2 linked regions of the Rattus norvegicus genome follow. The protein of the gene in region 2 purifies or fractionates together with the protein of the main gene of each other region. This does not show direct contact. Links are inferred from orthologs where the notes say so. Each region holds a gene or a part of one and is shown on either strand. Other genes may lie near its edges.

The links.
Region 1: the proteins of Slc7a11 (region 2) and Cd44 purify together in Homo sapiens (affinity purification with western blotting; 3 studies listed by BioGRID and IntAct, with this or other methods). This does not show direct contact. The link is inferred for Rattus norvegicus from reciprocal best matches to the Homo sapiens genes SLC7A11 and CD44.

Annotation. Positions count from the first base shown.
Region 1 is NC_086021.1:109,692,139-109,708,743, forward strand, and holds the start of Cd44 (CD44 antigen precursor), read right to left. Parts: upstream 7,287-16,605; 5' UTR 7,175-7,286; coding exon 7,099-7,174; intron 1-7,098. UniProt on the Homo sapiens protein: Cell-surface receptor that plays a role in cell-cell interactions, cell adhesion and migration, helping them to sense and respond to changes in the tissue microenvironment.
Region 2 is NC_086020.1:136,599,471-136,615,416, reverse strand, and holds part of Slc7a11 (cystine/glutamate transporter), read left to right. Parts: intron 1-2,148; coding exon 2,149-2,272; intron 2,273-4,043; coding exon 4,044-4,147; intron 4,148-4,942; coding exon 4,943-5,039; intron 5,040-6,834; coding exon 6,835-6,984; intron 6,985-8,284; coding exon 8,285-8,462; intron 8,463-10,984; coding exon of another isoform or gene 10,985-11,055; exon of another isoform or gene 11,056-14,124; intron 14,125-14,143; coding exon 14,144-14,208; 3' UTR 14,209-15,946. UniProt on the Homo sapiens protein: Heterodimer with SLC3A2, that functions as an antiporter by mediating the exchange of extracellular anionic L-cystine and intracellular L-glutamate across the cellular plasma membrane.

The sequences.
Region 1 (16,605 bases), on a different chromosome or scaffold from region 2:
AACAAGGAACGGTGCTGCCTCATTCATGGCTCTTGTGGATGCTTTTGGAAGGCACTGCTGACTCGCTTAATAGTAAAGATACACACGACATTGAAACAGATGGGAAATCCTGAATGAGTTCCTGCCACTAGATTAAAGCAGCCCTTTCTACAGACTGAGTCATATGTGCCCAAAGTGCTTCACCTCCTCTCTTCCTGAATGACTTGTTTCTCAGCCAGCGATAGCCAGAGAAAAGGATCTTATTGCCTGAGTGACATTTACTTGCTGCACACCAAGCCAATTCCAGGTCACCTGGTTTGCTATAGAGCTGGGAAGAGTGGCTGTCATGAACTTAAGTTCTCTGTACCTTGAATGTAAAACCGAACTCCTGGCCAACTCCTGTCTCAGTTTCCCTTTCTTTTCCATCAACTCCTATTTGTAGAATGAAGACCCTGGATGCAGAAACTTTTCAGCAAACAAGGAGTACTTGGTTTTTATTTATTTGTCCCATATCTCCCTCAGCTTTCTTTAATCACAAGTCACAGTCTTAGATGACAGAAAAACGTCAGTCATCAAAGTCCATCTTCACCCAGGAGAGAAATAATAAATGAAGCAACCAGGAACAAAAACCACACATCACCATCCATTAACTCGCCTCCCAAAACTCACCACAGAAAAGGAACTAGACTCCTGCTCAGGTATTTATAAGTGAGCCCCTCAGAGGACGAATGGAGGAAAGTTTCCATTACATGATCTTTTCCCTTCTCTTTTGCAAGTCCAGTCTCCTCCTCTGATGTCATGTTTTAAAATGAAAGACAGTGAGCTGGAGAGATAGCTTAGTGGCTAAAAGTGCTCACTGTCCTTGCAGAGGCCCAGAGTTCAGTTCCCAGCACTATACCAGGTAGCTCACAGTCACCTGTAACTCCAGATCCAAGCTATCTGACACCCTCTTCTGGACCCTTTCTGTACCTATGCTCACATGATGACCTGAATCTCAAGTCCCTTTATTTTACAACTATGTGGCCCTGGCCCATTTCCTTAAATTCTGTGCCTTGGTTCCCTCTGTAAAAAGAGGATAATAAAAGCACTGTTTTCATAAGATTGGTGCATAATTTAGACAAGTTAGTTTATAGAAAACAGAAAGAGAGAGAGAGAGAGAGAGAGAGAGAGAGAGAGAGAGAACCAGTTCTGTTTATGATTATTAGCATTGTTGATGGTAACTCAGAAACCTAGAGTTAGCCACCAAAAGGCAAATACAAACGGTGTACGAACTCTAAAATGCACTAACTTCCAGCCATCGCCGAGGGTACAGATGTTCAAAATCACCGCTCATCTGCCCGTGTGACCTTTCCCTTCCTCCCTGGGGTTTTGCAATTAACCTTTACTTTCAAAAGCTGAAGACTTGAGGAAAGTTCTTGGGACCTGAGTTTTGCAAATCACATCCTTGGTGACTCAAGCCCTCCCCACCCACTTTGAGTCTGTCTGCCCACACTTGCACAAAGGAGGGACGCTTGCACCAGGCGGGTACACCCAGGCAGGCAGCTGGTGCACCCCAACTTCATGGCGTTCTGGCTTTGTGAGTCTAGACCCCACAATAGCCCCCTCTTCCTGTGTTCCACTGTCTCTGAGCATTGGTAGACGAGTGATCCAAGGGAGTGCAGGACCTACCCTAGGCTTGAGCTACTTTGTACTGGGCAAGCTCACTGCAGAGGAAGCTGGTGGGTGCCCTGTTAGCTGCCAGGCTTCCTGCAGATTAGGCACTTTTGGGATATGTAGAGTCATTTGAATAGCAGGCCATGGAAGATATCAGAATCTTCTGGGAAGGGTTTCTGCATCACTCCCTGCTGCTTCCACCTACCAGAACCAAGTGTGTCAGAGGGTCGGTGAGCTTCAAGGGCTCCTCGTCTCAGAAAGCCAACCTTGGCTGGCCAGTTTCATTTGAGGTTTAAGTGTGAGTTTGGTGTTACCAACCCCTTCCCAGCTTTCCTAACCCTCTCCTTAGACTGGCCCCATAGCCGGCAGCCACCAAAACCACCACAGAGCGACAAACCCTCTGCTTGGGAAGAGGACATAGAAGCAGTCGACCAGCCAAGCCTTCTCCCCACCCTGTGCAAAATGACAACGTTATCAGCATGCTGTCACACACACATAAACATATTTGTACCCTCAGTGTGTCAGCCAGCCTGCCTCTGTACATGAAAATTCTTACTTCTCTGTTTGAGATACTCTTTTAAGTACAACAATTCTGGTCCTCATTGTGGGCCTGCATTGGGGTCTAAGACCACAAAACTGGGTGAGATCTAATCCTCATTAGCTGGAATTCCTCAGGGCATCCCATGAGGCTGCAGAAGGCAGGTAGCAGAGACACATTTTCCATTTCTCACTAATGGTCCTGGTCCCCAAATGCTTGCTGGCCAGTTTGGAGCTTGTTGGGTTCTGGTTTGGTTTTGGTTTTTGTTCTTGTTGTTTGCTTTGGAGTTTTTGTTGGCTTGTTTGTTTCCCCAGTTATGGAGTTGAACCCAGGATTTCATGCATGGTAGGTAAACACTCTGTCACTGAATTCCACCCTAGTTCCAGAAGTATATATTTAACAAAAATGTGAGACCGCTAAGTGAGTGAAAATTTGGGTTCAAATTTAAGGCCCTCCTTAAAAAATGCTGAGTCCTCATTCAAGCAGAGGCATAAAGTAAACGGAGTCATCAGCTTCTTGTGCAAACTCCAAGAATCTTTCTCCGAAGTAGAGAAGATCCCCTTTGAAAATTCCACAGGGCCAGCACGCAGCTGCCACCTGCTTTTAGCTTATGCTTTCACAAGAATAATTTCTCGCTCACATTCTGGTTAGAGTTGCTAAAATGGAGGTCTTTATGAAACACCACTGTAGGTCATATCTTGTCTGAAACTCCAGGTCAGGCTGTTGAGAAAGCAACCCCTCTCCCCCACCCACACACATAAGTCTCCTGTTTTATAGTGGAACTGAGTCTACCTGGTTGGGTGTATCCTAGAGGTTCTCAGTGGATTTTGGTTCAAGAGCTTTGACTTCTGTAGAAAGCCATGTCAACCCACTGCCTGGGATTTCAAGACTTCCCCTCCGATGGGGCGGGTATATATAATCATTCAAAGAGTTTATACCAGCAGTTCTCTATGGGTCACTGCATCCAAAATGCCTATGAGAGCAGCATAGGAGTGTCTGTGGGGCCTTTTTTAATTTGTAGGCAAAGGGCATTGCCCTGACTTGTCTCTTAGGCAAGGAGCAGCCTCTCCCTTTTTGCCAAGCCTACAAATGAGAGCATGTCTAAAGGGGCAACTGGACTCTGATAAGGAAACGGGCCTTATTTTAGCAATAAATATCTAGGTTGGCATTTCTAACAGCTGTGGTTGAGCCCTGGGAAAGATGAGACAGGGAGGGCAAAGCAGAGCAGCCAGGAGCCTACGTACTTCTGGAGGGAGGCAAGAGAGGCCATCCATGATCACTCTGCTGAGTACAGGGGGCAGGAGCAGTGGAGACCACATGCTCCTGAATCCTCCAAATGTAGTGATGGGGTGATGTTAGATGGTGGGGCACCTCGACTCTACTCTTGTGTCCTCGGAGCCTTGATTTCTTTATCAAGAAAATGGTGCTAGGAAAATCTTCATGTGTGTGGTCATTGCACGGCTATGTAAGAAAACCATCGATTAAACTGAATCTGAGCAGTGAGTAGCACTTACTCTTAAAGGTTTTGGATGCTGAGTGGCAAGAGCAACATGCCAGGATTTTAAAAATAGGGTTCTTCTGGTATAGGGACTCCAAAAGAAGACCAACAGAATCAGCTAACCTGGACCCAGAGGTGCTCCCAGAGACTGAACCCCAAACCAGCGAACATGAGCTGGACTCCCACGTATGTAGCTTAGCCTTCACGTGGGTCCTTAAACAACTGGAGCAGGGGCTCTATTTATCTGCTGTCTGCCTGTGGATCCCATTCCCCTAACTGGGCAGCTTTATCTGACCTCAGAGGGAGAGGATGTGCCTAGTCCTGCAGTGACTTGATGTGCCAGGGTGGGGCTCCCCCTTCTCAGAGAAGGGGAAGTAGGGATGGGGGAGGAAGTAGGTGAAAGGAGACTGAGAGGAGAGAGGATGCTGCAATTGGGATATAAAGTGAATGAATGAGTGAATGAATGAAGAGAAATACATGAAAAAATAGGGTTCTTCTAATTTTTCAGTGATGCTCAAAAGCCATATGAAACAAGACAGGTCTGTCTTGGGTACCATCTTCCTTTAGCGTACGATATGGTGATCATTACTCTTAAACTCAAACTGAGTATTTCGGGCCATAAAATACAAATGTGTGATGAGTATGTAAGGTAGTACTGAAGGGGTTAAAAATGTTATGCCACACCCCAGATTAGCCACACCTTCCTCCTCACCACTTCAGAGGAAACAGTGGTACTCCAGAGACTGCTGGTCTATCAAAGTTGTCCTTACACCCTAAGGAGCAGGGAACTCACCAATCCCTGTCTCCCATGGTCTGCTTCCTCTTGGGGAAAAGCAGGGTTTTTTTTTTTTTTTTTTCCCTAAGTGACCTTTAAAGTTCCCATTTTTGAATCTATGACAATGAATCAGGAAATTTTTAGGGAATGAATGGAAGAAGATCTGTCATAAACCAGGAATTTCATGTGGTCCAGCATCTCCTCCTGCGTAAGGGGAAGTTGGCAGAAAATAGAAGTTTCCCACCTCAGCTGCCAGGGTCTCCTCACTGTGCTTTAGAAGGAAGTAAATGTCCTGTGTGTGCCCAGGAATAAACAGAGACACTTTGGCACAGATGGGGCTTGCTTCCTTACTTCTTCACATGGGAAGACTTAGCCTGAATTCTGATGGCCAATGCAAAGCAACAGAGGCCTACAGAATGCTCAGAGGAAGCAGAACAATGCCTGCTTCCCCCAAGTCCCAAGACTCTCACGTGACTCCCTCTTTACCAACAATGGAGGTGCAATTTTCTAGCCATGAGCGTTGGAAAGGGAGAGGACATATGCAAGTGGACACTTGTCCCCTTCGCCTTCAACCTAGGGCCACTTCCTCCCCTAGGAGAGAAGTTGCTTGGCCTCTACCAGTTCTCTACTGCTTGACTTCTGATGCAGCATTGGATGGTTTTTCCTGCTACCCCCACCCAACTTCGCCCAGTCTCAGTGCTTACTCACCATCTTCCCAAACCAGAATGGGGCAACCACGATGCCTCTCTTTTCTCTCGGCCTTCTCCTTCCCCTCTGCCAGCCCAGATTCTTTGCTAAGTCACATCTCATTTCTGGTCTCAGTTCCTTTCCGACAAGGGAGTGAAAGCCAGGGTCTAGGTAGCTGCTGCTACTGGCACTTACCCTACTTGTCCTGGAGCCGCACTGTACAGCAGGAAGATAGGAACCCCAAGGCAGAAGACAGCCTGCTGGCCTTGGGACCTGACTCCAGGGGGTTCGGAAGGGCAGCAGGTAGTAGGGCTTTTAGAATAGCTGGGACATAGGCCAGGAAAATGTGGGAGTTCAGCCCTTCAGTCCCAACAAAGGTGGGAGTAGTGTGCTAACCTTCCTCCTGAGGCAAGTTCAGGACTCTCTGCCCTTCCCTCATCCATCCTGAATGTTTCTGCCTTCCAAGGGTCCCTTGGAGCTCTGGTTCTCTATGGAAGCCTCCACTGTAGTCTCTGCTGGCTAGATACCGCTTTCCTGAAGGTTTTCGATTTTGTCTAGCACTCACATTTAGGTATCCCATGGCAGTCTGAGCTAATGAACCCAAGTTCACACCCAGCACCATCCCATAGGAGAAGCCACCTAACCTCTCTGAACCTGTTTCCCTACTGGTAAAGGGGGTGGTGGTGTGTGCATTCCTCACCAAATCACCATGAGGATAAAATGAGAAATGAAGGACCTCACATAGAGCCTGGCACAGCAAAGGGGCACAAAAAATGGCCAATGGTGCTGTGCTGCTAAAATCATTCGCATTACACCTGCATCCGTACTCAAATTTTAACATCCGGCAATGGAGGTGCAATTTTCTAATCCCTACCTACCATGCCTACAAAAACCCAGTTTGATACCCCTTACGCCCCAGAACTGGGTTTAATAAATTCTTGCTGAGAGGAACCTCCTGTAGTCTGAGCTGGCTTAGTGACCTGACTGACACTTCTTAAAAGAAAAATTAACTATGCTGATGATAAACAAAGCCTTCGTGTAATTATCTGTTCGTATACATATAAAAGAGGGGAAACTCTTAGAATTGAGCCATACTGAATACCTGGCCCCAGCTCCTCCCCTCCACAGCCACAGAAGCCACCAACCTCGTTTAGATGGGATATTAGGGACTCCGCGCTAAAGTTCACGTGTTACCCTAATGCAGGCCCCCTCCTGCCCTGAAGCTGCCAGGCAGCGAATATGGACCCTGTTGCTGTTTGACTTTGCCTAGACTGGCAAACCCAGGAGACTGCAAGCACCGGAGGCTGGTCCAGTTATGTTCCTGTCTTGTGTCCTCCTTGGCCCATGCTGGAACCTTTTGGGTACTCAGAGCCTCACACAGAACCAGTTCAAACTCCCACAAGCTAAAATAAAGCAGTCGGTGATCAAAGCGGACTCTAAGAGCCCCGAAAACTAGTCTAAGCCAGGACCCGCTCTCTTCAGCTTTCTGAGGCTCCTTTCGGAAAAGCCCATTGCCAAATAACTGGCCTACAGCTATGTGAACACCTTGGGGAGTGCTCTACAGGTCCTTGCTGCCCCAGTCTGTGGCTCTAACCTGCTAGCCACAACCAGCCAGGCTTAGGGAACCCTTGAGTGCCAGAGCCTGTTAGTCAGGACAGAGGCTGTGCATATCCAAGAGCACAGTTACTTTTGAGCCATGTGCTTCAGCAAGCGTCGGGGACCTCGCCCAAAATTTGCAGCGGGCAACCTGCCCAGCAAACTTTCTTCTCCCTTTCTCTTTTCCTTTCACCAAAGCAGCACTTCCCAAGAGCAAACTCTTTCCAATAGCATAGCCCCAATCCCAGCTTTGCTTTGCTAGCCCAATTCACTACAGTCCCTCCCCGGGCAATTCAACCCAGAGGCATCCAGCTGGAGTCCTCAGGCGCTTCGCCGAACGCATCCCACAGTCCCGGCTGGCGGGCTACTCACCGATCTGCTGCTGTGCCAGGCTCAACTGTAAGAGGCAAAGTAGTCCCCAAGCTGTGTGCCACCAAACCTTGTCCATGATGTGCAGGATGAAACCAAAGGATCTAGTAGCCTCTGGAAAAGGGTCGCGGGGAAAGGGGCAAAGAGGGTGAATGGAACCTGTCACTGGCTGGGGGCTGCTGGGCAATGAGACCGCCTCGGAAGTTGGCCGTGGTTTTTATTCCAGGCTTTGAAAGAGTGACCTAAGAGGGAGGGAGCGCGCGAAGGACACACCCAAAGAGAGGGGGCTGTGACTAAGCAGCCAACGGAAGTTTAAAGACACACCAACCAGCTTTCGCTGCTGCCCCTGCGCCCCAGCCCTGCTCTTCCCCGCAAAAGAGAAAGGCTGCTGCCCCCATGCGCCCACGCCCCCCCAGGGCCACTCCACAGGCGTTCAACCCTGGCCCAGCCCGCCAGCCTATGAGGAGCGCTGCCTGGGACAAGAAGAATGGCTGAGTCCTAGGACCTCGCCCCTCTGAGTTAAATCCTCCAGTTTCTCCTTTGCCACTAAACTTCTGGGAACCTGGCTAGGGAAAGAATGGGTTTCCCAGGAAGCTGGACTTAATCTTAGGGAGGAGCTGAGAAAAAATTAGAGAAATCTATCCCCCGCTGGATAATGCCTTCCTGGCCAGGGTGGGAATTGAAAAGTAGGGAACTTGTGGGAGTTTCCTCTTTCTCTCTGAGAGAAGTCCAAACCGCTCAGCAGATCTTTGCTCCGGAAAACCCAAGGATGCCAACCCATTTCATTCATGCTCTCACATACTCACACATCCACCCATCCATTCCTGTGTCCACCCATCTTCCTCCTAATGCACTAATCTACCATACTCCATCTGCCCACCAGTTCTTGTATTCACCCACCTGTACAACTTTTCATCCACCCTTCCATAAACCTTTTTTACACCCGTCCTATACTCGTTCATCATACGTCCCACCCATCTCGATGCATGTACACATTTCCCGTCGTCGTCTCTCACTCTACCCATCCTCATATCCACTCACATATTAACTCTTTCTTGTTTGCATTTTATACTCCCTTTGCTGCAAGCTTTAATACATTCCTCTTTACTTCTTGATAAATTTCAAAGAGGGGTGTACATTGCCATTTTCTTCAAGGGAGATATTTCCAGGCTGAAAATCCAGGGGAAATAATATTTAAAATCACATTTCCCTGTCTTCTCTAATACGATTTGTGTTGCAATTTGGATATCAAAAGCTCTGTTTATTTTTAATGTGAACTAAATCTGAGTGGACTTCTTGCCGAATGAGAGACACAGAAGACATGGCTACGGCAGGACCCAGAATGAATCGTGCCAGAAATTCTGAGGGAAAGTGATATTTTGGGATTTACTGAAAAAACTGAAAAAGCAAGAGAAAGGCACCCAGTCACCTGCCCATCCATTTATTCATCAAGCATGTAATGAGTGCCCAAGGGTATCAAGAGAGGCAAGGCCTGGTTTGTCTCCTGGAACTAGCTCAGTCACAAGCCAGCTGCTGCCTGCAATATAAAATATACTGCAAAACCACAACTAGGACTGGGACGATGGCTCAGTGATAAAGAGCTTGCTATCAAGCACATGTCCCAGGTTAGATCCTTGGAACCCACAGGGTGAATTAGGCAAATTGTCCTTTGCCTTTCACGGGCATGCCTATGTGTATCATGGTGCAAATGCGTGCATGTGCACGTGTGCACGTTGGAGCACAGACATACACACATAATCAGTAACTGTTAAAATGATTAAAGATAATTCAGCCAGCTTCATGTATCTATAGGCTAAAAAATTCATAAGAATTGCATTTGTTCTGAGTGTCTACAAGCTTTTTGCTTTTCATTACTTTGTGAACCACACAGCTCAACCACTACGTATCACATAGATAAATATATATATATATATTAATATATAACTCTACATTTCATTTTGCTAGGTATTACAAGTATCTAGCCATGACTAGAAGAACATGTGTGTGCTGCATGCAAATACTGAGCCATTTTATGCAAGAGAATTTATCTTCTGAAAGTTGCAGATGAAGCTTGGGTTTTCTGGAAGTGATCTGTTGATAAGGGATCTTTCTCCCCCTACCCTCCTCTCTCTGTTTCTGTGTGTGTGTGTGTGTGTGTGTGTGTGTGTGTGTGTCCTATAAAGACTTGAATATTAGATCAGATGATGAGACTGAATGCTCAAAGTAAGAATGAAGACTAGAGAATTCTGCAGAGACCAGGTTGTAAACTTCAAGGAACTTTGAACTTGGTCCTGTAGAAAACCAAGAGCCATTGTGAGTTTTAAAAATGACTTTTGTGTGAAAACACATATAAACTGGCTGTCACACAAGTGCAATTATGTGGCATTTAGTTAATTCACAGTATTACAGACCCTTCACAACTTCATTGTCGGTTTTTCAATTAGGGAGAACCGTATGGCAGCAGTTTTAGAGACATTGACAGCAGTGACAGGGTTGTGAAATTGTTGAACCACTACCTAGCCAGTCTGTGCCTGGCAGGGCGGCATGACACAAGGACCTACCGTTCTGAGATGGAGAAGGCACCTCTTGGCCTTATCTGAATACAAAGCACTTTAGAATTTGCCAGTAGGTGGAGAGAGCTGGGCACTCTGTTGTTTCAGACCTAGAGACCATTTATTTCAAATTATAAAGGTCTCCACTTGGGGTAAACATCCTAGTGGGTTTGGCAAACTATGGATGAGGAATAATCTTGAACATTTCTGTTCAAGATTTTTGTCTGATTCTCTTTGGTGGAGGAGAGGGAAATAGGTAATTAACAGGAATGATTTTTTGTGGAACCCGGGGGTTCCTTTGGGAGCCCTTCAGTAAAGGACATAGAGGCCAGAGCTGAGGGTTTAAAGTGAGCTGTGTTCTTTCCTTGTCTCTCAGCCTACATGACATGGTCAGCTTTATATACCAGATGAGGTTGGGCACACTCAGGATGGTATGGCTGCAGACAGTTTTAGATATCAGAATATCATGAGAGCATTCATTTTGACAAAAGATTCTAAAAAACAAACAAACCAGAAAAAAAATCCAACCTCAGACCCTGCTTTGTTGGAGTGTTTTGCGTTTGTTCAGTAAACAATACTGCCCAAAGGTGTGTGGCGGAAGGCGAGGGGGAGCTGACTGAAAACGCTTTGCGAGCTGGAGAGAGACATGCAAATTCTCTAGAAATTATTATTAGGATTTTTCTCCCAGAGGGGAAGGGCTTGCTGTCTCTTCCCGATAGTTCAGCGAGGGGCTGAGACAGCTTGCCCTGGTGCCACAAATGACTCAGTTTCGATAATAGACTAAGACAGGCTAGTCCTTGGGAATTCCTGGATTATCTCTGTGTCTTCTTCAGTCACCCCCCCTTTTTAAACACCTTGCTCTCACCATGGGCCACCAGGTCCTTCCCATCTTCTCCTTTGCACCTCTATGAAAGTGAAAATCCTTAAAATGATTTGCTTTATACCTTTGGTGTCAGCTGTGCATCCCATCAGTCATCTTTTGTGGCCAAAACGTGGATGTGGGAAACTGAAACAGGGAGCTCGAATTGGTGGGGCTTGTCATGAAATCACAGGGTTTGGAAGGAAGCCAGAATACAGTCATCAGCTTTGGGCTGAGAGAGCCCAAATCTGAGCATCAGCAACTTCACCTCTGGGAAATTCGGGTTCAAAACGAGGGTAAGGAGACCATTTTCATAGTTTAGGAATACTGAGAAAAATAAGATATAAGGATCCGCCACTGCGGTGCCCACTTGAGTGGAGAGAGCAATCACTTATCATCCTATGAGCTGCCAGTGTCCAGGGACATGATTGCATATCAATTGCAGTAGCTGACGTATTCTAGTCTCTGGCTTTCTCTATCATGATCTATAAATGAGCACTGTACAAATGCACGAGTGATTGCTGCTTTCTTTTTTCCCATCACAGCTTATGGGGTGTTTCAGAAGCTACATGAGCTCATGGGTAGATCCAGGCAACTTGAGGGCTGCTGAACACATTCAGGCAGCGCGCTCTGTAAAGTGGCCAGTTCAGCAGCCTACCGAGGAGCCTGTTCACATCATACAGATGAGACGCTCTTACAGAAACGCCAGGGCCTGATGGCTTCTGATGAGTGATCATAGAGCTCCTCTTCTTAAGCAAAGAAAAATAAAAGGCTAGACCAAATGTGAATGAAGTATGAAGGGCAAGGCTGGGAGACCCAGAGATGGATCGTGGAATGGTACAAACATGGAACACCATTTCAGAGACAAGAATTGATCAGCCAAGGTAAAGGTAAAAGTACTATTCCGGTTAATATTGAACTCTCAATGGAATTCATTCTTAGTTCACAGTCACAAGCTGAGTTCTACACATGCAAATGAGCAATAACGAGAAACTCTCATGAAATAATCATTAGTGGAGTCTAAAAAGCCGGTAGCTAGGAATGAGTGAAACTTTATGATAAATAAATAACTTTGAGTGACTATTATTCAGCTAGAAGTGATCACAGAGCTAGGCCTTTAGGATTAATAAAACTTTCAAATTATGACAAATTAAGTAGTTGCTGTAACTATAGTACTCTGAGAATGCTACGGGGATAGAGGAACCTAGATTCTAAATTGGCCATATCAGTCACCAAGTGGCTTTCACATAGAATGTTTGGGACTAAGAAAATAGTACCCAACCCCAAAGCTGCTTAGTAACAAACTTAGAAATGGGAATGTTTGAGTATAGAATTTGAATTGTTTATTCTTTTAATTAATTAATTCATTCATGCATGTATTGTACAGCTACTAAAGAGTGGGCACATTTTACACTCTGGGTTTTTAAATAATTAGCCATAACAATTCCACCACCACCACCAGCCCTACCAGCACTAGTCCTATCATCAGCATCATTCCCATCATGACTATCCCTATCATCATTACCACTGACCTACTTTTGTCTCTGTCACTGTGATAAAATACCCTGATAAAAAGCAACTGGGGGAGAAAAGGACTCATTTCCACTTACACTTCTGAGTCATAGTCCATCACTATGGAGAAGGTAGAAACTTCAAACAGCAAGTTGTGACATATCCACAGTCGAGAGCAGAGGGAAATGAATGAGCACATGATCATTTGCCTTCTTGCTTGCATGCTCTTGCTTCGCTTGATTTCTCCACTCTTACAAAGTTCAGTGCTCCCTGACTAAGGAATGGTGTCACTCACAGTGGGCTGGGTCTTTCTCATATCAACTAAGTTATTAAGACAATCCTTTATAGACATGCCATAGAGCAAATCCACATAGACAACTCCTAATCGAGACTCTTCTCAGGTCGTTCGAGGTTGTATCAAGTTGACAAAGCTAACATCGCAACCATCATATACATTGTCATTACTGTCATGGACAACATCACGGCCGCTATCACTGCTATCATCACCATCACTTTCTGTCTCCATAAACTCCCTTATTGTCAGGCTTGTAAAAGTTAGTCTTAGCACAGCCAATCCAATGTTGTCTAGTTGTCACAGAAACCCTATTGACAGCAAATTATCATTTTACAGATTTAAACGAACAAAATTCCCTGAATCTTGCAAGGGCAGGTAACTAATTCAAAACCACACCTTTATTTTACTTAACAAAATTTCCCATCATCAAGAAATATAAAGACAGAAATCTTTTGTTTCTTCCTAATTACTGATCTGGGAAAACCACTAAACCAATGGGAGTCCAGATTAGTATTTACTTTACCTTTATTCTACTCACTTTCATTTAAGAAAGATAAAAGCTGTAATGGAGTCTCACTAGATATATAACCCTCTCTGAAGGCCAAGCCCCATGCCCAGCAGTAGATGGCCAACACAAAACTAGCTCAATGGTTGCTGTATAATTTTGTCTCATATTGCTTCGTGTTCTCTCTCTCTCTCTCTCTCTCTCTCTCTCTCTCTCTCTCTCTCTCTCTCTCCTTTCTTATTATGCTTTGTTTGTTGTTTTGTTTGCCTGTTTGTTTTCTTTTTTTTCCATGAGCTATGACATTTATTTGCCTTTCCGGGCTTTGATCTTCCGCAGATAAAACTCCAACTCCTTGCCTTCGAGTACATAGCCATCTGCTCTGCCACACTGGCCTGGTCTTGAGACAATAAAGGTGAGAAGCTTGCCCTGCTGGAACTGCTCCTCCAGAAGACTGCTGATTTTGGCATTCTTTTTCCTTTCATCATATTTCTTTTGAATTTTCTTTGATCGTTTTTAAAATCTCTTCCTCCTCAGGAGTCAGCTTGGTCCCCTTCTTGCGGCCCAGGGGCAGTGCATAGTGGGACTCGTACCATTGTCGGTACGGTGTGCTGTCAATAAGCATAAAGCAATTCTTCACCAGGGTCTTAGTGCGGACGAGCTCGTTATTGGATGCATTGTAGACAACGTCAATGATCCTTGTTTTGCGAGTACAACACTCAGAGCCCCAGGAAAAATCCCCACATCCAATTTCAGAGCACGGTACTTCTTATTGCCTCCTCGAACTCGAACTCGGACTGTGTGTATGCGGCGAGGGCCAATCTTAGTGTTGGCGGCCGGCCTTCCCAGCTCATACTTCCGCTTCTTGTGGTAGGGTTTTCTCTTACCCCCGCTGGCTGGAAAGAGTGCCTGTTCGTTTTCTAAAGAGAGATCTAAAGAGAAATAAAGGCATGGAGTTGGGTCAGTGGGGAGGCAGGGAGGAGTTGGGGGAGGGAAATTGTAATTTGAAAATATCACATGGGGAGGTAGACTGGTGTTAGACAGAGAGTGGCACATGGTGATTCTCACAGTTTTCTTAAAATGAGAAAGGCTTATTGAATAGCAGAGACTCAGATGTTGACTGCTCATCAGACAATCTGAAGTTGGGGAGTGCTATCTTTTTCCCTATTGAATCATCACAAGATAGCTGTGTGCTCAGACTAGACATGAACACCCTTCCCTTTCTTATGCCTGAGTGTTTAGTCAGTTCCTGCACTCCTTGCAGGATATTCTTTGGTTTCCTTTTTCTTTTTGTTGCTGTCGTTACTGTTGTTCAATCCACAAGACACAGTTCCTTCTCTGATCCTGAAAATGAATTCCTGACTCTATAATTTTATGTTGTGACTCCCTATTTTCCATGAGCATGGTCGAATGATCCCAGTGGCAGCCTGATCCAAGTCCAGCCATGTTAGAGCTGTTTGTGAAATTCAGAAACACAATGTAGCTGAACATACATTACAACTTAAAGGCTGTGGGACAGGTATATTCCTCCACCCATGCTTATAGAGAAGCAGGAGAAAACAGAAGGCAGAGAGTAGGGGACAAGCAGAAAATATGTCCTCATTTCTGACACTTTGCAGGTTCCTTGACTACTGTGGGGCACCCAAACCCTTACCACTAATTCCTTTCATTCTGCCTCTGTTAGTCCACATTAGTTTCTGTTGCTTACAACCAGAAAGACTTAATGAATAGAAGACTATCACTCCACCTACAGGTGGTAAAAACGTTAAAGGACATTGTAGAGCTGCCCGTTGCTGGATCTGAACTTCAGGATTTGACTGTATGTCTTAGGTCTTCTCTTGCTCCTTTTGTGACTTGCTCCCTCTCAGCTCTTCTAACAATGTCACATTTTACCCCAAAATCTCATTGACTCACTGTACTGTGACAGAAACTAGATTCCAGAGTGATTTGCCTACAGTTGCAAGCTGATCCAAATGAGTAGCAGATCGTCTGTCTTCCAAAACCTTTGTCAGAGAGCCTCTTTGTGCCTGGACATGCCTAATAATCTATTTCAAAGGCAAAGCCTTCCACCTGGCAGACAGTAACAGCTTCTCTTAGAAACACCCAAAGGGTAGAACTTCTGGGCTCCCATGCAGAGGCATGAGCCTCCAGACAAGTCCTATTGTGGCTTAACATCAATACTTATGGAAAAAGAAGAGTTTCTGGGACTAGGAGAAGCCAGGCCAAAGCCTGTATCACTGGATACCATTCCCTGACCATAAAAGCCTGAATCTAGATGCTGCTGCATGGCCGACAATGAGATTTGTTGAACTAAGCTCAATCAGGAAAGGATGTGGGCAGGGAGGGCGGAGGAGAGAGGAAGAAAGATATCTCTGGTGAGTGTGATTGTGATTGTATAAGAAGGTAGAGGATAAAAGGCAGGGATAAAATCACCATGATGTGAAGGAAAATAGAGCTTTGCAATCATCAACTAGGAATGTGACAGATCCCATCACCAACCAGGGTGCATCTGTGAGCAGTGCACAGACTAAGCACTGAGAGACAAAGAAGAAGGAAGCCTGCCTTCTCTCCTCCAAGAGTGGCTGAGATCCAGGCTGGCATGCCAGGGACCTTCATTAGATCAAGAGTGTTTGCAAGTCACCTCTGTATTCCAGGCCCTGCTCTAGACACTTGTGTTCCAACAGCTCCTAGACAGGCTGGTTTCTCTTTGTTGTTGAGGAAGTGGGCCCAGGATAACTAATCATTGTCTGGGGAAGGTTGGTCTGAAGAGGTAATGCTTGGACCACACTTGCATAGAGATGAGAGAAAATTTTGTCCGAGTTCACTGCAAATGCAAAGGCTTGCTGTGAGGGTTGTAGCTGGTTTGGAGGCAGACAAAGCTCATGTGGCTGGAGCAGAGGAAACAAACACTAGGACATGAACTTTCCCAGTTTTGCAGGCCATGCTGGGAGGTTTGGATTCAATGATGGTTGCAATAGAAAGACTAAATGGATGAGACCTAAAAGTTCATGGTGACCTCTTAGGTCACAGTTATAAGAAGGACACCAAGACTTTACCACACAATGGGCAAAAGATCCCTTGGAGGATTAATTATGTGCATTAGGTTTGCAGGATGCAAAAATGGTAACACAAGGGCTAGGCAGGTAGCTCAGTGGTATAGCTGTTACCTGGCATGCACAATATCACGAGCTAAATCTTGAGCACAATGAGTAATCTGATCATGAGAGGGGATTAAATTGTATTAATTAGAATGGTCTTGGTAATGCCTCAATAGCAACAATAAAATTTCAGTGATTTAACACAGTGACCAAAGATGATTCCTGCTAAGGCAATTGTGACTTACATGTAGACTAGGAAATCATTAGCATCACATTAGCATAAAGTAGTAAAGAACCTAAGGTAAGCAAGGGTCTAAACTATGGCATATTAGGAAAGTCCAATAATATTTCAAGGCAGGTTTGCAATGTACTAGACAAGAAACTGTGTATAGGGCCAGGGAGATGGCTCAGTGAGTAAGGGTGCTTGCCGCCAAGCATAACAACCTGAGTTCAATCTCCCAGACCCTAATGGTGGAAGGAGAGGACAGTCTCCTCTAAGTTGTCCTCTGACCTCCCTACCGGTACTGTGGTATTTGTAACACACACAAACACACAGACACATACACATACCACACACACATATACACGTACACAAATACCTCACACACACAAACACACATACACATACATATCACACACAAATTACTACACACATGCACATGTATACATTCACACCACACACATACATACCA
Region 2 (15,946 bases):
CCAGCTGGGTATATCCTTGGACAGTTACTCAAACCTCAAAGACTCCATTTCTTCATAAATAAAATAGTTCTTAGGTTTTCAGCTATTTCCAAGGATAAAGTGGGGGTGGATATGTAAAATGCTTAATAGAATATTGGGGTGGGTGGGGGTAGGGGTGGGGTAGGGTGGGTGGGAGCAGTCCAATGGCTGAACCTGCTGCTGCTCTGTTTGGTAGTGGTTAAGTGAGAAAGTTAAGCCCGCTCTCTGCGAGGGTACTGAAAGCCCCACTGAGACACACTCCTACCAAGAAGAGCAGAGGGGCCTGGCTTCAAGGTGCCAGGGAAGGAGGCTGAGTTCCATGCTGGAGGACCACATTCCCGAGTTTCACATGCATTTCTCTGTTATTTTTCAGAATTACGTAGTGTGACCTCATTTCCTTTTCTTGCATGAGTTAGTCATCTCGCTACACTGAGCAAGGTCAATTCAGTTGTTATTAATATAGAACCTGGACATACCTTAATCAACCATGTGCTTGGAAAGAGTGGAGGGTCTGTTTCTCCCCTTCTCTGTACGTCCGTCTGCCTTTACAGAGAGTGTGTACTCTCCAGGTGGGGCTACTTTGCAAGCTGAAAGATCCCAAGTTCAAGATAATTCAGTGAACGGCTAGGCAGGGGAATCCTCACTCCCCCCTTCTTACCCCTCTGCATTGCTATCCGTTCCAGAGCCATAGAATCCATCTTTAATTGCTTCACTGCCTTGTATTTCATTGGCTCGGTGACTTTTTCCTTTTTGATTTGAATTTAGCACATATCAATTATGGCTAGCAGAATCTGTTATGGTGCTCAAGGGAGGAATTCCACAGGACCCTCTTCACACCGGGGATGGAGAACATCTGGTACTTTCATGTTCTGATGCCAGGATTTAGAGGTCAGGGCTGAAGGCTTTGGGGATCAGGGCAAGTGTCAGGCTGCAAGCAGCCGTAATGAATGGCAGTTGCTGACTAGCTGGTTTAGCCTGTTCTCAGCAGGAGATATGGCCGGTCAGTATAATGAGCTAGGACTTAGTGTGTTAAACACATCTAGCTTGGCAAGTGAGGTTGGTCATGCCTCTCCCCTCCCGATTCTGTATGGAATTTTCATCTCGGAAGAAATTATATTGAGGTCTTCATTAGTGGCACCCTGCAGGGTGAAGCCTCTATGAGGGCTGAGAAGCAGGATGGCTTTACAGGAAAAAAAAAATGGCCAGCTTTTGTGCAGGGAGTTGAAGGTTTAAGTTGCCTGAACTGGAAAGGGTCTGCAGAGGCGATTATGTTAAGCAAGTAATGTGTATCGGTAACATGGAATCAAATTATGAGGGTCACTAGCTTCCTGGCTTTCCCAGTGCATTAAATGAAGACATAAGATTGCATTTGTGCTGGGTACTTCTTGAGGCCGCACAGTGTCAGCACTGTCCAGTTGTTCATACTTCACAGCATGTCACCTCTAATTTCATGGGATTATCTGCACGGCTGCTTTATTAGATGGTCGCTATCTTGAGAGTCCTTTGAACTCACAGCAGGGCCATGCACAGCCATTACTGTGAACGCTTCTCTTACGTACACAATTCTTATTACCGTCGCCGTTTTACGAAGGCAGATACAGCCCACCACCCTCCTGCCTCCAAAACTCTGCGCTCATTTGTTTGCACCACAAGCCGCCCCACGGGAAAACCCTGAGTGCGAAAGATGCTTTGGAGGGCTCCCTTTAAAAAGCTGTCCAGCCGGCGTGGTGGATTCATGGTGGAAAGGCGTGTGGTCCTCGGGTCAACAGCATCAGGATCACATGGGGGCACAGGAGAGGTGCTGATCTCATTAAATCAGAAACCCAGGGATGGGCTCAGTGGCCCGTGCTTTAACAAGCCTTCCCTGGTGATTTCGAGGAAAGCACGGCAGTGCAGTAACATTCATGGGGTAAAGAATGGGGTAGACCTATATATTTGGGGATAGAGCAATAGACAAGTTATACAGAATGCCTACCCCCATGGATCTCATTATATTGCAAAGGTACTTTGTTCTGATAAAATGTTCTTTCTTCCATATGCCAACATCAGTCCCTGGAACTAGTCTTCTGTATTCTTTGGTAGCAGAAAATGTGAGAGATGACCCAGACCCGATGTCTTTGTGTATTTCAGAACCATCCCCCTTGCAATCTGCATCTCTATGGCCATCATCACAGTTGGCTATGTCCTGACAAATGTGGCCTATTTTACAACCATTAGCGCCGAGGAGCTGTTGCAGTCCAGCGCTGTGGCGGTGGTAAGTCAACATTACAGTTCCCACAGTTAGAATTTAGGCTAATGAGTCGAGGATGGACTCTGCTTTATCATGGCTCCCTACAGGAGAAAGTGTTTTGAAGTTAGTCATCTTTTCTTGACCTGAATGATAATATTTTGAAGATTTAAAGTGTACCCTACTTAGATTCTGCTAACTCTACCCTGAGAGCTCTTTGTTATTTTTTTTTTAATTCTCCTAAAAGGCATTTTTATATAAAGCTGCCTAAAAAGGCTTTCCTACAAGGAGGGAGTATTTTCCCAACATGTTTCTAAGGACAGGCGGAGTTTCTGAATGCAAATCAAGGCAAGTTTTGATATGCAAAGTATAATCCACTCTTCTCATTTCTGGTTATCAACTTTTCAAATGTTGACTTGAATCCTCTCCCCAAATTATTTTTCTAGAAATTTCAGGAGGACCATGTCTATTCATCCATTTGTAGCATGACTTGGAATAGTGGTGTTGTGGTGGTTTTTATAAATTTGGGAACAGGTAGGCAATTAAATGTTAAAGAGATGTTACAAAGAGATGTTCCAGCAACACTTGGAGATGACTGTGCATTGTAACCCCCTAATTCCAAAGATTTTCCACAAAATTATTTCACACTGGAACTATATTCGTGTCCAAAGATCATGTTATGAGACTGCTTTTTCTTTTCACTCGTGTTTGCTCAGACATTTTAACTGGGAAGAAAGAATGCACTCATTAACTGGAAGCCAGGAAGGTGAAAACTTAAAAACACCCAGAGACACTCCCATCCACCAAACACAATTCCTTTTAACACAGTATCACTTCCTATCAGCAACACCCACGGAGAATGGCTACCTCCTGTGGTGCGAACCTGTATCTGAGGTCACAGTATGAAAAGGGCTTTGTCCACTGCCTTGAAATGTACAAAGCTTCCGGGTGTCTGGTCGGTTGCCTCACGTTTCTAGGCAAAGGGCAGCCCTAATTTGTGGAGAGCATAATGGGGTCTGTTAATTGCATAGCACCAGCTGCATCAAGGACAATGGGAAGAAAAAAATCCTGTAATAACCAAAAAAAAAAAAAAAAAAAAAAGCATCCTTTATACAAATGTGCAGGAGTGCCTAGGAGAAAATCTTAGAACTTTGTCTACCATTTGTTTATGCTTTGTGTCACTTGTCAGGATTGGAGTTGTGTTCTAGCATTTTACAGGAAACCCTGGTAGGAAATGACAGCCTCCTAGGGTCGGGGAGGGCTGACTCCATAAACTGGTTCAGCTGGTCTGGTCTGACTCGGGTAAAGAACCTTCAGACTGGCTCACTCATATGATGAAATAGTCAACTTGTCTATTGTTCTGATTTATCCTCCAGCATCAAGGTGGGCCAGTACCTGTCACACTCACGAGTGTACGTCTAGTGCTCCTCATACAAAGGTGGCTTTTTGGGATTGTGCAGAGCAATTTCTGTCCTTAAAGTAGAATTTCCTATCTAAGCCCCTTCCTCTTACCAGAGGCGATAGTTGATAAAGAGTCTGTAAACGGCTCGTTGCTTTGGAGGGACAGAGAAGGCGACTGTTTAGACCTTTGCCCACAGGTCTGAGACAGCAATGCCATGGTGCCCGCTTCTGATGATTGTCTTGGGAGTCAGTTTGACCCTAACGAAAAAGAAGGATTATAAAACATTCACGTAGCACCAGGCTAATGGAAAGTCAAAGAGCAAGTTTGGCCTAAATTGTTTCATTTTATTCCACTTTCGGGGAAAGCATTAATTTGCTCCGTTCTTTCCTTCCTCAGACCTTCTCTGAGCGGCTGCTGGGAAAATTCTCATTAGCAGTCCCGATCTTTGTTGCCCTCTCCTGCTTCGGCTCCATGAACGGTGGTGTGTTTGCTGTCTCCAGGTGAGCGAGTTCATGTATTTTCAGAAACACATTTCTGTTTTAGAGATTGGATGTGATAAGGATAACTTTTAAAGAGAAAAGCAATAGTTCCTCCGAACCTGTTGTTTTTAAAGGGATATGCGAGTTCCTAGTAGATTCCGGTGAAGCATGTTTCATTCTGTCCAGTAGAGGGCGCTGCGTGTCTACACATAGCCCACTCTGAGCAGGGCATGCTGCATTTTTTTTTTTTTTTTTTTTTGAAGAGTCTGTCTTCAGGGTTTTATAATGGCCTTTATTTCTAGCGATAAAGTCTTTTGTTTTTGTGAAGGTGCCACGGAAAACAGTAAAGTCGAAAGCAGAAATCACCACCCTGCCATCTGTAACCCTTTTTCTTAGTTCGTTGGTACCAAAATCTTTTTTTGCCTATTTATGTTACAATTTAGAGAGAGGTTAACATTGCATGCATGTACATATGTGTACATGTGCAATGCATGTGTGCTACTTTGGACTGACACTAGCAATCTAGCACTGAATTTGCCACCAGCTACTCCTATATAAGAAGAACTCTACTCAGTGCAATATTTCTATTGTTTTTCCTCAGAGCAATATAAGGTATTTCCCAGACTCTGTAGGTCCTGAAATGAGACTTAGGATGAGATCTTCCCCTTGTCTTCAAAGCACAACCCAAATGACCAGAGGAGAAATGCCAAGACGCCTAGCATGAGGACGATGCATCCATGTTGCTTTGGGGATTTAAGAACTGCTCCATTTGAATGATTGATTCTGTAGTCAACTTCACCCTTCTTCTCCCTGCAGGTTATTCTATGTTGCATCTCGAGAAGGGCACCTTCCGGAAATCCTCTCCATGATTCACGTCCACAAGCACACTCCTCTGCCAGCTGTTATTGTTTTGGTAATGCATATTAACAAGGACATGCAGATATAACCTCACACAATGGTTAGGAAGGAGGGGATGGAACAGACATCCTGATTCACCACTGGGTTGGTGCTCAGTGTGTCGTGTTTGGGAGGCCAGAGATGTTTGCCTTGGCTTGCTTTGACTCCGTGCTTTTGATGTGTACCGGATGCCCTGGGATATGACCCACCTCACTTCTGCTTCACCTTTGCAGAAATTTGTAAGGTATGAAGGGAAATGAAGGCTATGGTTTCTCTCCTTGGCGGAGAGCCTCAAAGGAAAGAAAAGGAAAAACCGCAAGGATACAATCTAAATTCTGGTCTCAGAGTTCAGCTGAAAGCAGACTGTGCAAAAATGATCTGTGGCCCTCTCCTGGTCCCTCTCATACAACGTAATTTAAAGCATAGATAAGACATAAACAGCCAAATGTTTCTCCAGGAGGCCTGTGAGAGCAAACCTTAAGGAAAAAAAGGAAAACCCTAAATGTAGATTGAAGCAGGGGAATTCTCTAGGCTGGGGTGATATTTGTCAAATGTGGGACACAAAAGGCTGTTAAAGGTGTAAGAGCTCTCAAATACCCTTGGGCAATGCTACAGTCATTTTTTTCCCTCCTCTGATTTTAGTAACATTTTTTCTTAACCAGAATCTGCTGTCAAGAGCTCCCTAGGATGCATTGAGCATTTTTTTTTCTTCTCCATGCATTTAATTTGTTTCAGAATGTTTCCTTGAAATTTCTTTTGAACATACGCACTCTGTGCACAATCTGGAAGCTAACGTCATTTGTGGGAACAGGATGTGCTGTTCCATAAAGAGGGCTTTCGTGTGAAGCCTCTGCTATCCTTCATGCTGTCCTTGGCTTTTTCAGCTGCAGATTCCTGCTCTGACGTCCTCTTTCTCTGTTTATTCTTCCCTGGTCCTGAGGCTCACAAGCAGTTATCACAAGGGGACAGTTGACCCGGAGTAGGAAAAGGTCAATGTTGTGCATTAGGGAGCCAAGAGATTTACCTTCACACGGTTGTCACTTGTGTGTGGGTCCCAGGAGCACTTCAGAAATCACTTCAGAGCTTCCTTAGATTTTCCCAGTTATCTGCATTTAATATTTATGATTGGCAACTTACTAATTGATTCTGGATGATTTTGAGTGATTGGACATGTTTTCTTCTTATTCTTTGAAAATACAATGTCTTGGGTAAGGTACACCTGTACATGCTACGAGTTTGGCAAGCATGAGAACTTGAGTTTAGTCCCTCAGACCCAATGCTGGTATGGTGACTTACATTCATAATCTCAGTACTGGGGAGGCAGAGACAGGAGGCTCCCTGGAGATCACTGGCCGGTCAGCCTAGCCTGCGTGGCCAGTGAGAGGCCCTATCTCACAAGGTAGAAATTGTCTTCTGGCCTCCATGCGCATTTACAAACATCCCTGCATTTATACGCATGTGCACCTGTGTGAAGACGACACCCTTACACACAAAAACAAGCCAACAGAAAATACACTGTCTCCTTTCCAAAGAAGAAGGAACTGACAAAGTAACAAAACAGCACATTCTTACAAAATCCCAACTGAAGCGGGGCTAGTGACGGACTCCTCCAAAGGAGGCTCCATTGCAGCCTAAGAACGGATATGGTAAAGAAGTTTGTGGAACCTAGGCTTTGGTCAGGGTGACAGCTTAGCACTATAAATAAGTACTGGGCAGGACACTGGTGGTGTGAGGTGATGTTATTGTTTGTATTACCTGTCCCCTCTTAGTTCCCTTTGGTTACTGTATCTCTCCTCCTCCTCCTCCCCCAGCATCCTCTGACAATGATAATGCTCTTCTCCGGAGACCTCTACAGTCTTCTGAATTTCCTCAGTTTTGCCAGGTGGCTTTTTATGGGCCTGGCAGTCGCCGGGCTGATTTATCTTCGATACAAACGCCCAGATATGCATCGTCCTTTCAAGGTAACCTCGGCCATCTTGATGGGTTTACATAAATCTCTCTTCTAATACCTAGACCTCTTTTTGTCATAACTCGATGGGGAGGTTGGGTGCCACAGGGTCCGGCAAAGTAAAATATTTAACTCTTGCAGGGAGAACCTTCTGTTCCACTTTACTTGGGGGGAAACTATGTGCATTTTAAAGTATGATATAGTGAACTTGTCACCGATTTTATCTGTTGAGAACAGAAAGTGTTAAAAGATCCTCTTCAGACTGTGATTTCATGCATGGCTTGGGTATGTTCAGAGCGTGGCATACCCCTGTCTTCATACTAAATGGTTGCAAACAGCTGGGCTGTGAAAGAAAGAATACTTCATTGATAAAAACTCAGCCGTGGGTGCTGCTTTACGGATTAGGCATTTTAGTCCTTATTGTAACTTGTTAACATCATGGCAGTGTACTCTATCGTGGCAATTCTCCATCACTGGGCTGCAACCCCTTTGTGGGTTCAAATGACCCTTTCACCGGGTTACACAAGACCATCGAAAACACAGATATTTACATTATGATTCATAATAGTATAAAAATTGCAGTTACGAAGTAGCAATGATTGGGCTGGGCAGCATCATCACATAAGAAACTGTATTAAAGGGTTGCAGCCTTGGGAAGGTTGAGAACCAGTGCTCTGAAGAAATATGAAATACCAAAGGAAACACTTAGCACTAAGGAGAGGACCATTTACTCTCCCTGCAGTTTCCTTTAGGAAGGCTGGAGAGCAGCCCTGCCATCAGTCTCAGATGTCAATGGGTCTGTGTGATCTCACTATTTATTTGCTTTTTAGATTTAGCACAGATAACGCTGCCAGTCATGTTATCAGGATTTGCCTCTAATTGTATTCATTGCCACCTGCTTACAGCATCTTTATTAGCTGCTGACTAGGAGTTGGCCTGCTCTATTCCCATTGAGTCTCATTGTGACTCTCAACAGGAAATCAATATTCACGGAAAGGTTTTAACACGTAGCAAAGCCACTGGTGCTCTTGACTCTGTGTGAAAGCAGGTTCTAATTGTGAGGATCGAAGAAGCAATCTTTTAAGATGAAAAATGTAAATCACATTGATACTTCAGTAGTAATGAAATTTGAGTAGGGCGTTCGCCAGGAAGCACACTCTCCTAGCTCAAGACTCGGTTCACATGTCTGAAAACAAGTTAAGAAACTACACCTACCTAACACATGCTCTGTGATGACCCGGTCACATGACCGACGCCCTCCACCCCAGTGTCTTGCACTGTCATGAAGTTGTTTTCCTTTGGCTGTGTTTCAGGTGCCTCTGTTCATCCCAGCATTATTCTCCTTCACCTGCCTCTTCATGGTTGTCCTCTCCCTTTACTCGGATCCGTTTAGCACCGGGGTTGGCTTCCTTATCACCTTGACTGGGGTCCCGGCGTATTACCTCTTCATTGTATGGGACAAGAAACCCAAGTGGTTCAGACGATTGTCAGGTAAGACTTTTGAACATCTTGGCCCTAACTAGATACTGTGTTGTAGAAAACCCATAAAGCTGTACACAGCTAATATACATCTGTTAAACACTAAAGCTATGATTGCTACAATGGTCAGTTAACCCGTATTACGGCAATGTAACGGCAATGTGGAGAGAAGGATGGGAAAGGATGACTGCAGCCCGGTGGGGTATTGGATTCTGGTGATCTTAGTCATTGGAATTTTAGAGGAAGGATAGCTTCTTTAGGTAGTTTTTCAGTGCTGCCCACTGCTCTTTTGAATCCCTTAGCGACATAATGGTTGTATTCCTTGGTTGAATGCAGTTGAGTGACTATCGTAACATTAAGTTAACCAATGATGTAAGGTTTGTTGGGGTGTGAGGTTTCAATGTCTAGCTAGCAAATGTCTTAAACATCATGGCTGTAATGCTACCTCACTAGAAAAGATGACCTGAAGAGGATTTTAGTAACAGCAACAACAACAACAACACCTAATCAAGAGTAGCATCTTTCTTGTGTGGGTTCTCTATGTTTGCACACGTGTGACCACTTTCTCCCAACAACCGTTTAAGTAGTAGAAGCCATTGTCTATATTGTGTAGACTTTGAGTTACATCCCCAGAAAATTCACGCCACTCTTCCAAGCCACGTGGGTATAAGTAAAAGAGCTGGGACTAGAACTCAGCCATTGGCACTGAGGATGGAAGAGAAGGGCTTGAGGCTGAAGACACGGGAAAGACATGGTGGTTCCTTTAGGGACAGGAATAAGAGTTGAGGAATGTCTGAAGGTGGGTCCTGTTAGCAGGACCATGAGGACTTTCAAAGCAGGAAAGAGGAAACACTAGCTCAAAGTGGTAGCCTGTTAGGGTGTGCAGGAGGAAACATGGAAGGTCACTTGGTCAGAAGGTGGCTTTGGAAGTGCCCTGTTGTCAGGAGAGCTCATGAGCTCTTTCCCCACCTTCACTAGCTCAGATAGATTTCCTGAGGACCCATGTCCCAGATTCTGTTTCCCACGACCAGGTGAGGAAGCCATGGCTCAGCAAGAAGGAGAATTTAGAATTAGGTATAACGGACTTGGAGCATGACATCTAGAATTTGAACTCACATTTCCTGGACATCAAGATTCACTGCATTAGATCCTCATCCCATTACAAAATATCACACCAAAGCAGTGGAGAGGTCTTGAGCATGGTAGAAAGCCTAAGGCCTAGAAGAGCCAGCAGCCTTTGAGGTAGGGTTGGGGAGAACAAAGGGCAAGTTCATCATGTTGTCCCAACTAGATGGTTTTCTGAAATTCCCTGTGTAGTCAGGCAGTTCTAGCCATCTTTCCTCTCACTACCGCAGGCAGGCTCCAGGCCACCCTGTCAGTTCAGATCAGACATTTTCAAATGTGATCTTTCTTTGTTGCCCTTCTGTGCTTGGGTCCTTTTGGAGTTTTTGTTGTGTTTCTTCCTCTGATGATGCTTTGAATATCTCCAAGGCCACTGCATTAGCCATTTGTGGAAGGAGCTGTGGTGGAAGAAACCCAGGGTGGTTGTTGGTTCAGGGACGCTGTTAACTCTTACCAGCGATGCAGCAGAATGCTCTGCTTTAAACTGTGATCATTGCCGCTCTTTATCTTTACAGACGCTTTGAAAAGATAGGGGGAAAAACAGCAGTCCTTTGTAATTCTGTTTGATTTTCCTCTTAGGCAGCGTTCTTGTAGTAAGATAAAGAAAATTCATAATATTTATTGCTGCAGAAGCAAGTATTTTCTTAGCCTTCGGCCAAAACAAAACACACAGATGAAACCAGAGAGTCCTCCAGTAGTACCCGACCCTTCCCCAAAGACATACTTTGTGTTAGAGAGAAAACTCCACGTGAGCTTGGAGGCAGGAGAGCCTTGCCCAGAGCAGTTGGTTCAATAGTTTAATATCATGTTTTTTTCGCCTGGTGAAATTCTCTAGTCTTTATGTTTTGTTTTGTTTTGTTTTTTTCTTTAACTTTAGTATGTGTGAATAGAGTAACCCTGGGAAAATGTGACAAGTCTACTAAAATGCACCGTGCCGGGGCTATTTCCAGAAGTTGTAACTAGACATCATTGTTGTGCAGAGATACTGGTGCAAGGCTGGTTGGCACAGTCAGAGAGTGTCCCGAGCCTTAGGAAGTGAGATTTTTTAAAGATCTGATGAATGTCTCTGGCCACAGGATGCCAGTATTGAACCACTTTTTATGTGATAGCATCTCCAAAGCTAAAAGAAAGCACTCTCTTAAGGGGGTAGTCATATATGCAGAAAGCTCTCTCCTCTGTCTGTAACGAAGGGACTGATGTTTAGTTTATATTAATTTATATTTATATTATATAAATATACTTATGTACATATTTATATATATTACATATATTTGTGTTACATGTATATAGTTTTATTATATATTATAATATATAATTGCAGTATATATCTTGTAATACAAATAATACAAATTATATGTAATATCTATATTATAAATACGTTATATGTATTTATATTATTCACTTGTTTGCAGACAGTCAAGCTTCTCAGAGGAGGAAAAGTGTACAGGTTCACCCCGATATGTTTGGATGCACAGAGCACTAAAGCCAAGGACTAAGCCGCTCACTATCCACCCAACCCTATAGTAGCCGAGAGCCATTAGGATGACTGGCAGTCAGCCCCTCTTGCTCAGGGAGAGATACAGAGGCAGCCTTATTTAAATAGCATCTTTGGTTGTAAAAAGGGGAAAGAAAAAAGAATTTACTGTGGCCAACATGAACAGAATGCCTGTAATCCATCTTTGCGGACAGCAAGCTCGCAACTCGAGAGCCTAAAAGCATGTTCAGCTCCAAGTCTGTCAAGGTAGCTTCATTTGGAACAGTCCACTGAAGCTGGTTCATGCATTTAGAGACTCTTCCTAAAGGTTAGATTACCATTTTAATTCATTAAGTTTGCCTATATATTTCTCAGGGGCTCAGAAGGTGTTCCACTAAATAAATGTAATTATAAAAATAAAAAAATAAAAATATAAAACTAAATATAAATAAACATGAAAGCATTCACCTCCTTCCCCCTTTAAGAGAACATACTGTTGTTTTTCATATAATTTCTGGGGCAGGATAGCTTTGTCCTGCATCCCAAGATCACTCAGCCCTGGCTGTTGGTCCTCTGTGGATACCAGGTGTGATGGGGTTATGAGACGGCACAAAGTTCCGGTTTTCTTTAAGAATAACAAGGGAGGAACATGGAAACCTCAATCACAGCATGACTGTAAAGTTCAGTAGGTTGTAATCTTGGAAAACTCCAACTGTATGTCGTCAGCTTACCTTTATTTGAAAAGGCAATGATGTGGGTTTATTACTGTACGGCCACTAATCTTATTGTGAGTATGAGTAGGATATGCGACATGCCAAACCCACACATTCTGCAGGGCTTCTAGAAGCTTCCTTGATCCCATCGAGCACCTGTGCCAGCCCCACTGTTGTAGGGCAGCTTAGAAGGAAACGTTGGGAAACCAGGTACCCAAGGCCTTTCTGAGCACCCCATCATAATAAAAGTTACGCCCCACTAGGACCCCGAAGGGAGAGCTATAGAGAATGTCAACGGGGCTGGTTAGGCACACTTTGGGCCTTACTCTGCTGAGAGGAGAATAGAAACAGAAGGGCACAGGAGCATCCCAGTTGCTGCTGCTGTCTGGAATGGAGGCAAAGTTCCCACACCAGGGAGTGAGAGGTCTAAGAAGGCAATACATGGGAATCTGCATTGTGGGAAAACAGTAGGGAAGAGCTTTGATGTCAAGAGTAGAGGGCCAAGGCTGAGTGAGAAGACAGGATGTAGAGGATTGCTTAGGAGGCTATGCAAGGATGTCTTTGAAACATGAGGTTGCAGCCCTAGTTCTTTAACCCCATTGCTTTTCTTTCCAACTTTTGTTTTTCCTTTTACCTCCTCGCTGACTACCATTGGTTTCTTAGCTCCTTGTCTACCTATAAACACCACCTTCCCTGGCCTATTGATGGACGACTCCCCCTAAGCCCTAAGCCCAGAATGTTCTCTTAAAGGGGGAAGGAGGTGAATGCTTCCATATTTATTTATATTTATTTTTATATTTATTTGTAAATTTTCAAAGGATAATTTTGCCATGTACTTTTCTGCAAATATGGGGTATGATTATTGCTTTCATGGTAGAGTAGACTGTATAAATTGCAACTTATCTAAGAAATATGTAAAGTTTATTATTTGATATTACTGTACATAAGGCCCTTTTCATTAAATGTAGGGTTAAAAAAAAAACAAAACAAAACAGCACCCCCCCCCATAACACCAACAACCCCCTGTCCAAAACCCATGATGTGTTCCCAGGCAACTACTTCAGGGATTATTACTGTATCTGTTACTTTTCTTTCTTCTGCAACAACTTACCAGACAAAAGGCAACTTAAGGGAGGAAGGTTTGTTCGGCTTGTAGTTTGGGCAATGCCCATCTTGTCATAAAAGGAAGAACTGCTGGAGTTTCCTGGGTGGCTGGTCTTCCTGTCTTTAGCCAGGGAGCAGAAACCAAGCAGCGACTACATAGGAAGTAAGGCTCGGTTATAAAGTCTCCAGGCCTGCCCTCCTAACCCACATTCCCCAGTGAGGATCTACACCTAAACCTTCCACAGCCTCCCCTAAACAGCGCCAACAGTTGGCGACCAAGCGTTCAGATGAGGGACATTTAGCAACACCACAATGAGAAGAGAGCAAAGGATAAAAATAGCTTTTTAAATGTAGTTAAGTATTGCTTGCAGGCTTGTTAGAATAACAAGTCATCAGAGAAGAGAAGACTGCCTGCAGGGGAGATGATTTGGGTCTGGAACGTTTGGGGGGGGGAGGTACATAGTCTTCTATAAGACTAGGGGACTTTGGAAGGTGTTCTATGGGAATTGGTGACAACAACAACAGCAACAACAACAAAAACCAAGAATTTCCCTAAAGCCATCACCACCTAGCCCAGCACCCTAGGTGTATGGTCAGAACATGTCCTTAGAAGTAATACGACCCAGAGGTTATTATATTTTGGTGTCTGCTAGAGTTACCTCTTGCTGGGTTAAACCTTCAGCTTCTCCTAACTTAGAAGACTGAGACCTAGACTTGAAGCAAAATTAGAATTGTGGAGGGCGCTTAATGTGATTGGTTTAAGAACCTTAAGTGACCCAAATTAGTCCAGGTTTCTCATTCTATTCATGAGACAGACAAGGTCTTGATAATTAAGGTAATTTGCTCAACAGTACTACCGATTAGATCCTGGAAATGCTATTCTTCTCCTGACTGTCCAGAGAAATTGGTTGTCATCCCCTATGTAAAAAATAGAACAAACCCATCTTGAGTTGAACATGAAGAATATTTGTAAACATTTATTGATATCTTGGTCCCATTGTCTCAAAATATTTTCAGCCTCCTGGTTCATGAATAAATGTTCTTATTTGAATGCAAAATATTAATAAATTCTTACTGAGAAAGCATCATGGGAAGTTGTAGAAGTGACAAATACACTAATTGAGGATGATAGGATTGTAATGAAGTAAATAATTCTCGAAAGTGCTCTGTAAAGAGGGTAGCTGTGTACTCTCAGTATTCATCCCCAAATAATTCACATTTTGCTATTTTTATGCTGCTGTGATTTTCATGCATTTTAATTTCTCCTTATTTCTTTACAGACAGAATAACCAGAACATTACAGATTATACTAGAAGTTGTACCAGAAGACTCTAAAGAATTATGAACTTAATGTATCAAATCCTTGGCCATCTGCCCAGGACTGAGATACAAAATGGCTCTTTATTTCAAGAAAACACAATTTTGATGATGGGCTAAAGGAATTGGTTATCTCTAATCATAGCCTCTAGTGTATTTGAATTAATTTCTGAGCAACTTACCGGTAACTCCATATATTTGTAGCAAGCTAATATGCAAGTCATACAGTGGGGCAAGCTCACAGTTCTTGAGTCTAGTGCCTATCTGCTGAGGGAAAGGAAAAGGAGAAACCTAAGGGCATTGGCACCTGGGTATCATTCTCTACAACATTTCTTATCGTGACTGAGAACCTTGAATAGAAGACCAAAATGGTTTCTGTACATATGAGGCCTGTAAACATAGCTTTACCTACTGGGGACATCTATACTGTGAAAAGGATTTTGTTTTTATTTTTCTGAAAAAAAAAGAGTCATTATTGTAGCAAAGGAAGCAGAATGACTTTTACATTGATCTTGGATTGTTTTCCCTTAGTGACCAACATGGCTGTCACTTATCTTTCAGTGGCTTATACTCAGAGCATCAGAACAAATGAAGATGAGAGAGGAGAGAGACAGAGACAGAGACAGAGACAGAGACAGAGACAGAGAGAGAGAGAGAGAGAGAGAGAGAGAGAGAAAGAGAGAAAGAGAGAAAGAGAGAAAGAGAGAAAGAGAGAAAGAGAGAGTAGCTGGAGGTCAAATTCAGGGCTTTCCAAAAGCCAGGCAAGAACTCTACCGTTGGGATACGTCTATACTCTAATTTTCTTAAATGAACAAAAGAAGCATTCCCAGGGGCTAACATTTATGACGCAATCCTAAACTGTGTTTGAACTAAAGTCATTGAGAACTTGTTAGGTTAACTACGTCATTGTTTATTGTCAGGAAACTCGGTGTTTGTAACGTCACTGTGGTTTGTAACGTTTCAGTGTGGTTTGTTTGTTTTATTCCTGAAAACCTGTATGGTTTGGTATGACATCCTTGGTGAGACACCTCTTTGGTAATTTACGTCTTAGTGGATAAAACCGTTTCGCTCATTGCAGTCCAACACCCGCATGGGAGAAATTGCCCACAAGACTCCAAACATCAGGCCTCATCTCTATAAACCGCATTATACGCAGGGTTAGCAGTTCATTCTCCTTTTCTTTAACTTTGTGGCTGTTTTTACCTGGGGATGATTTTCGACAGTGTGTGCATCCCCTTTACCGTTCTGTTCAAATATCTCTGGATAAAACTATCTGGATCCATCATAAAGGCACAGCTTTACATAAGAACTGTGCAAGAAATGCATGCCACCACTTAGGAAGACTTTCAACTGACTTTTGAAAAATCTAGGCGGTTTCATTCATCTCTACACTTTACTTATAATTCAATTTGCCAAAGAGGGATCTGTGACCAAACCTATCGAAGGAGAGTCTTCAGTAATGTCGTTCAGCTCCCTGACGTCGAGTCTGAGTTAGAAAAACACTAGCAGTGTTCAAATGGGATTAATGTGATGGTGGGATTTTTAAAACATTTTCCTAACATCTGAAAATTAAATGCATAGCATGGTCACAGTGAATTAAATTTGATCTCTTATATTTTGACCACTTAAAAACAAAATGTTTTAAAAAATTATCCTGAACTGGTTGTGGTGGCACATACCTTTAATCTCAGCACTTGGGAGGCAGAGGCAGGGAATCTCTGAGTTCCAGAAGAGCTAGGGCTACCCAGAGAAACCTTGTCTTGGAA